2 linked regions of the Struthio camelus genome follow. The protein of the gene in region 1 interacts with the protein of each later gene in a biochemical or structural test. Links are inferred from orthologs where the notes say so. Each region holds a gene or a part of one and is shown in the gene's direction. Other genes may lie near its edges.

Region 1 (3,750 bases):
GGCTTCCAGGGCGGGGAGAGCGCCTTCGGGAAGGAAAACAGCCAGGCGCCACGTCTTGATCATTCGGTTTCCCCGCAGCGAGGGAGATCGCTGCCCTCACGGCACGGGAGGTGAGGGAGTTGTGGCAGGGCCGCCGGCCCCAAATCCGCCCTGGCCTCCCCGAGCGACTTGGGCGGCGCTGAGCTCCCTGCCCTCCGGGCCCGGCCACGACAGAAGCGGAGGCGAGGAGCTGCCGCCGGGCCGAGCGCGCCGCGCCGGGTGCGCAGGCCTTCACGCCGCCCCGCTCGCCCTCGCGAGGTTGGCTGGGCCGAACCGATCCCGGCGCGCCGGCACCCGCCGCGGCAGGCACCCTCGCCTCGGCGCCGGCGCGACACGCCTGGCCGGCGGCTCCCAGGGCCGCGTGCGGCCCGCCGGGCGCCTCGGGGCCGCCGCCGCGCCGGCTCGCGAGGGCGGTCGCGGGGGGTTTTGGCGCGCGACGCGCCCGCGTGAAGGCGCCCCGGGCTCGGGTGCGGCGGGGGGCCGCGAGGAGGCGAGGGTGGCGCTGGTGCCGGCCCGGCCGGGCGCAGCAGGGGCGGCGGGTGCTGGCTCCGGCCAGGCCGGGGCAGCGGGGGGGAGGGGGGCGAGCGGAGTCACCCCGGCTCGTGCCGAGACACGGCTTTGGCACGAGCAGCAGGGAGGGGCCGGTGAAAAAGGGGGGTTGTGCCCTAAAACTGCAGCCGACGAGGCCGGGCACGAAGAGCGCCGCAGAGCAGCGCGCCAGGCTGCGCCCCGCAGCGGGGCCTGCGCGGCCGTTGCCGGCCGGGCGCCCGAGACCGCCCGGGCGGTTGGGCGGCGGAGCGGGGGGCGGGGCGCGGGAAGCCCCCGCCCCCTTGGGGGTGGAGCTAAATTTACATACGCCGTGCGTGCGGCGGGGCGGGCGGCCGCGCCGGGGGTGGCGGATCCAAGATGGCGCCGTGCGGACGTGTCCGGAGCCGCTGGCCGGGCCCGGCGCTCCTCCTGCTCGTGGCGCTGGCGGCGCGGCCGGCGGCCGGCGGCCCTCAGCCCGCGGGGCCCGCGGCGGCGCTGGCCTTTGTCCCGCCGCAGGGACAGGCGGCGGCGGGCGGCGGCCCCGCGGCGGCGGGCGGGCGGGGGTCCCGCGGCGGCGGCGGCTCGGGCGGCGGGTGGAAGCTGTCGGAGGAGGCGGTGTGCCGCGAGGACGTGGTGCGGCTCTGCTCCAAGCACAGCTGGGCCAACAACCTGGCCGTGCTCGAGTGCCTGCAGGACGTGCGCGAGGTGAGCGGCCGCGCCGGGCCTAGCCGCGGCCGCCCCGGCCGGGCACGGCGCCGCGAACAAAGAGCCGCCGGGCCGGGGAGGGCAGCGCCGCCGGGGCGGCGAGCTCGGGGCCGGCGCTGGGCCAGCGGCGCTTCTCGGAGCCGAGCCGGCGCGGGCCCGAGGCTGCCGCTGTGGAAGGAGGCGCCGGGCCGGGCCGGGCCGCCGTTGCTTGTGGCCCCCAAAGGGGCTGTTGGCCGCCGCGGTTCCGAGGGGGCCAGGCCCGGGCCGCCGCCGCTGCCCTGTGGTCGTGCTCGCACGCGCCTGCTCGTCTGTGTGTGTGTGTGTGGGGGGCTTCTCGCACCTCTCTGTACCCTTGGGCTGGGGTCCTGGCGGCTCCCTCCTTCGCAAACCTGTCCCTCCCACAAGGAAGGAAAGAGTTGTAGTGCAATGGCTTCACCCCCCCCCCCCCACCCCACACTTTGATACCTCACAGGTTTATTCAGCTTTCAGAGATCTTGGGAGAGTTTGGCAAGAGGATCTTTTACAAAGATCACGCGCTGCCCACTTAATGCCGAGGAGAGGTATCTTATTGATAGCAGTGGCGACTTGAGAATACTTTTTCAGCGTTAGTTTCCCACCTTCGCGTAGAGGAGAGTCCAGCTGCAGAGGTGACTGCCTTCTGCTGCCGTTGTGTGTTTGTGGATGTATGAAATTAGATATCCGAGCTTTAGGCCTGGATTAGTTTTTGCAGGGAGATTGACTGGGGCATCTCTTTTGTTACTAAATATCTGTCATGAATGATTTAGATGTAGTTCAAGAAAGAATTAGTTGTCTTCTCTGAGTCTTTTCTAGCCCCATCTTCTGACTGATAGTTCTTCCCCAGATCGAAGAAGCTTTTGGAGGAGCTGCCTTTGAGCTAAGGAGAAAGGAAGATTCAGTGCTGCGTCTGTTTGGTTCTTGGCTTCTCTGCTGTGAAGTCCAGGAATGTCAGGCTGCGTCAGTTCTAATGGTGTTTTATCAAGTGGAAACGTATTCGGGAAAAACCTGTGCTCATTTCTCATCAGTTATTGCAGAGACAGCAGATGGCAGTGACTTAATGGTTGCGCTCATCAAGGGGAGTCTTGAACTAATATGTCAGTGATTAATTCCTGACTTAAAGAACTTAGATTTTTATCTAACTTCACATTTTCATTGTGGACAGATATTTTAATAAGAGTCATGGCAGACTCATTAAATGAGACCTGATGCAACACTTATCGCAGTTCTGAAATGTTCTGGTATTTGCTTATTAGTAACTTGTCCCTTATTGTTTCTTCTGCTTGCTGCTGCCTGGAAAAGACCCTCTGGATTCCCTGTCAGGGAGGCACTGCCTCTGAGATAATCTCAGAAACTGTACTTTCAGGAGGTGCAGTGAGCTAGCAGCCTGCCACCAAAAGGACAAGGTCTTGTTGTTTGTGTGTGTTTTTTTTTTTCTTCCCCTTCCCAGTTGTGTGGCCACTCCTCTCTCTATTCATAGTTCAAGTACTTCTTGGTTATCAGCCATTTTAGTGAAGTAGACCTTTTTCTGGTCTAGCTTATCAGCTCTCTGCTGGGATAGTTTTGTTGTTTTAGTGAGTTGTATGCACTCCCGGAGGAGCATGAGTGCAGGAGCTAGTGCAAAAGAGTGTGCAGAAGGAAGCAGAAGATGAAGGGAGGTCTTGCATCACATTTTTCAGCGGATGCAAGCCCGTATGTTGGCTCTGCATAGTCTGGTGAAACTCCACTTTCTCTTTTAAATCTCATGTTGGCTTATGGTTTTCGTTTTTCAAGTTTCTTTCTCTTTCAAAGTTTGCCTGTATCTCAATGGTTTGCTTGTTGTTGATCTGATAGCCAGTGTGGAAGGTGAATCCTTCACTGGGGTGGTATCCCAGACAGCGGCAGGACATCCGGGGATTGTTTTGGATTGAGATTTCTCTCCTAAGGTGCCTGTTTGCAGCCACAAAAGACTCTTGTCCTTATTTGTCTTTCAGCCTGTAAAAAAAAATGTTGTCAGCTGGGCTTAGACTCAACAGTTAGCCTGCTGTAAAACTGTTCTGATGGGCTCTATCCTGGCATAAAAATAACTTCTGCAGAGTGCTACTCCGAGAAATGAATTGAAATAACTAACTTTTTTATATTGATATTGTTTAACTATGGGTACTTAAATTCTGAGTAAAAGTAATGAGTTGTCAACATTGGGTGGCACATAGTGTAAAGTGGAATGCATCTGTTATCTTCTCAGGCGTTTCCTTTGTGTTGGACGCAACACCTGAGGAAACGGTGATCTCTTTTTAGCTGTTATTATTGAAACAATTTTTAATTTTTACCCTAGGCCGTCTGACAGTATGTTTGGACAGTCCCAGAAAAATGATAGCTATGTTTGAAAACTGATGCCTGGCAAAAGGTGTGGGGGGGAACTAGTCTTTGCAAGTTCTATGAGCCCATATTAAAAAAAGTCAGAGTATAGTAAATAGCAACTTT
Region 2 (3,750 bases), on another chromosome or scaffold:
TTCTCATTATATTTAGTAACTGACTTTGGCATACTTTCCGATGCCTTACCTTGAAGTTTACAGAAAACGCTCCTATCTTGATAGTAACTGGGGCTACTTCAGAATATACTTCTTGCTAGGTCCTCTTTTCTTTGGATTCCTTGGATGGGCAGAGATTTATCAAGCTATGGGTACTTCACAGATTTTTGTCTTTTTCTACTAAGGCAAAAATTAGTCCTTAAAACCGCTTCATGTTGTTACTTGGTCTGCTGAAATATTTTATCGTTATCAACTCAGGTGGAGCGCTGATAGCTTTAGCTGTCAAGCTGTCAGTGGTATTGACGGGCATATCTTAACATTAAAAACTCACTTAGGGAAGAAAGTTTATATATTTCCTTTCTCGGGATACTTGTTATGCTGAATTCAAAGAAAGTGTGCCATGCCTTGTCACAGTTTTGAGGAAAAGATCTGCTGTGGTAGGTTTACTCCTTTGAAAACTTTTGGTTAGTGGTTTTTCAACAAAATAGCATTCTCCTCCCATCTGGCCTTATGAACAATGTACAAAAAGGACAAAAAATTGGATGAAGTATGTATATTGTTTTTATTTCAGAGCTTTAATGAGCATTCAAAATTTCTGTGGCCTCTTAGGGTATATACATATTCAATTCTCTTATCAAGTAAGGGGAATTATATACATTAACCCCCTAGTTTGCTTTACATAGTTCAGACATTCACTTTAAAATCCTCTACAGTTCTGGTAGTGATAAATGGTATTTTTAAGAAGCTGTCATGTCTGTTTCTTTTGTTTTTTGCCATCAATATGGTATCTGAACATCTACGGAAGCCAGTAGAGAGTGTTTCTTTTTTACTCTGCAATAATTTGTATAACTTCACTACCACAAAGAAAAATTGTGGCTGCAAATCACAAAGAGCTTCCTATAATCGAGAGAAAACACATCCATCTGTACTAAGAAAAGTTACAATCGACTCACTTGCACAGCAAACTCTTAAACTAAGCTTTTCACTGATATCCTGGAATTGTGTGCTTCTGTCACTAAAGCTGTAGAATTCAGCACTTGATCAGTTTGTCCCTGTGGGAGGGTTGATATGGGAAGGGGAAGTGTCAGGCTTAATGTGTGAGGGTCAAAACCAGGGATATTCCAAGAAATTTTTTTTTCCACATGGAATTTCCTGCCTCATGGAGGGCAGGCTGCGCTGAGAGAATAAAAGGCTGCTGTAAAGGCAAAAGGAACACACAGTCCAGACAGTTCAAGCTGAACTTCATCTTCAAGACCATATTCAGCAACTTAGCAAAGGAAAGCAGACACTGAGAAATATTAGAAGACTTCTATAGCACCTGGCCATCCCAACAACAATCTGTGAGTATAAAGGGAGCGTTTTATTCCATCTTGTTGCTTAGCTAAGGGAAAAATGGACAGAATTCTGTCCTGATGTACCTTAAAAGCTGTCTCGACATTAAGAACAGTGTTAAATGTTTCTTTTCCTCCAAATGAAAATCTTATTTAGTTCTTCAGTGATTTGTTAAAAAAGTTTGTAGAACAGATAACATATACTGCTTTTTTGAAGTTCAATATAAAATACTGTCTATGTTGTGTGCAAATGTGTTCCTTTTTCTGGTCTTTCATAGCTATCTGCACAAAAGATAGAAGAGAAATTTCTCAGAAACATGGTTTGTTTGTGGTTCCTATCTCTTCTTGCTTACGGTAAGTGTATATTTCTCTAGAAAACTAGCTGGGTGATATTGTTAATGTAGCTATTTTGTCTGAGCTCCAAATTAAACAGAATTTTTGAACACAGCCTACTTAGCATGAGGCTAAATTCATATAGAAAAAACTAACTGCAATAGCATGTTTACCTGCTCACCTGTCAGATGTTAGTGGCTAATATGGTTTACTACAGAGCCTATAGAACTTTAATCAGGTATAGTTTTACAGGTTGAAGTCCTATACTTGATGCTGACATGCCTGTTCTGAAGCTCACCAATTAATTGTATATAAAATAATTGCAACTACTGCCTATGCAGGTTCAGATATTGATAAGCACGCAGTATTTGTAGGGCTTTATATATTCTCTTATAAAGAAGAAAAAAAGGAGGTGCCAACTGCTTGACATCTCATTCCAGGATTTACGATATTGGAGGAGGTGAATTGTTGGACATACCATTATTCAGACACAAACATGACCTATGATGAAGCAGAGCTGTGGTGCAAAGACAAGTATACTAACATGGTTGCCATTCAGAATAAGGAGGAGATCAGTTATCTCAATAACTTCTTACCCTTCAATCCGGGTTACTACTGGATTGGAATCAGAAAAATTAACGAGACATGGACCTGGGTTGGAACTAACAAAGAACTGACAGAAGAGGCAGAAAACTGGGCTTCAGGTGAGCCAAATGGCCAGGGGAACAACGAAGACTGTGTTGAAATCTACATCAAAAGAGGGAAGGATGATGGCAAATGGAATGATGCACAGTGTGAGAAAAAGAAGGTCGCCTTGTGCTATACAGGTATGATGTCCATCCCAACGAGTCCCTGTGGAGATGAGATAGTGGGGGGTTAATTAACCTAGTCTTAAATAGTAACTCCCTGACCCTGCAGACACTTGTACACTTACCCTTAAACACAGTCCCTGGGTGGAATACTCACAGGGCTGAAGCTAGTTGTTTTAAGAGCTGGATTGATCTCACCTATCTCATAGCCTTCAGAATATTTTACATCTTTTCTAAGCAACTCACCAGACCTTTGTGTAATTGGTGGAGAGAAACAGGCTCTTTCGGTTTTTTTTCATCCTATCCTGAAATAATTGAGACACAGCAGGTGTCTTGGCTAGTCTGCAGTGGGTTTCTCAGCGAGGTAAGAATTGCCCTTTGGGAGGCATCTGTCCCTCTGTTGACTGTAGACCACTGGAATGGATTAGACACTTTATGTGGAGGTGGCTACAGCAGATCAAAAAACTGCAGTCAAATATCTGGCAAATCAGAGTTGTGTTGAGGTGGTAAAGAATGTCCCTGTTGAGGATTTCTACCTACACTATAGTCAATTGTTCCTTTTGCATTTTAAATATTGCTAATATCTACCTGAGCACAAATGGTCATGGAGTTTCCAGCCAGTTAAATCTTTTCACTGTTAGCTAGGCTGTCAAATGAGTTGATTTCTGAAATGCTTTCATGCAATGATGAGGTAATGTTAAGTACCAAGAGTCCTGCTTTTTTTTTTTTTTTTTGCTATACAAAGTGCTTGTTCAGCACCAGAAAGATAAGTGAATCGCTAACCAAATTTCATTAGTGACCATTGTGGACTCATTTATAACTTGCTGATTTTTTTTTTTTTCCTTCCCAGCTTCCTGCAACCTATCTCTCTGCAGTGGCCATGGAGAATGCATAGAGACTATTAACAATCACACCTGCCGCTGTAACCCTGGATTCTATGGGCCTGAATGCGAGTTTGGTAAGATTACTCTATCCTTCCTTCCAGCCAGAGAGATGGTCATATTAACTAGTGTTCAACTAGTCAAAAACTAGTGTTAACTAGTCAATTTACCTGCTCAGCTACTGACTCTGACTGTATTTCCTGCTTCTTTGAAGTTGAGACTTGTGACACACTAAAGAAACCTGATCACGGCAGCCTGAAGTGCAGCCATCCACTGAAGAACTTCAGCTACAGCTCATCCTGCACAGTTCAGTGTGAAAAAGGCTATGAGCTGACTGGAGTGGAATCAGTCCACTGTACCTCTTCTGGAGTCTGGTCT

The links.
Region 2: the proteins of GLG1 (region 1) and SELE form a complex in vitro, tested with the Homo sapiens proteins (2 studies listed by BioGRID and IntAct). The link is inferred for Struthio camelus from reciprocal best matches to the Homo sapiens genes GLG1 and SELE.

What each region holds. Positions count from the first base shown.
Region 1 is NC_090951.1:22,466,738-22,470,487, forward strand, and holds the start of GLG1 (Golgi apparatus protein 1), read left to right. Parts: upstream 1-929; 5' UTR 930-945; coding exon 946-1,272; intron 1,273-3,750. UniProt on the Homo sapiens protein: Binds fibroblast growth factor and E-selectin (cell-adhesion lectin on endothelial cells mediating the binding of neutrophils).
Region 2 is NC_090949.1:8,132,809-8,136,558, reverse strand, and holds the start of SELE (E-selectin), read left to right. Parts: upstream 1-1,230; 5' UTR 1,231-1,358; intron 1,359-1,627; 5' UTR 1,628-1,666; coding exon 1,667-1,703; intron 1,704-2,122; coding exon 2,123-2,509; intron 2,510-3,341; coding exon 3,342-3,449; intron 3,450-3,586; coding exon 3,587-3,750. UniProt on the Homo sapiens protein: Cell-surface glycoprotein having a role in immunoadhesion. Mediates in the adhesion of blood neutrophils in cytokine-activated endothelium through interaction with SELPLG/PSGL1. May have a role in capillary morphogenesis.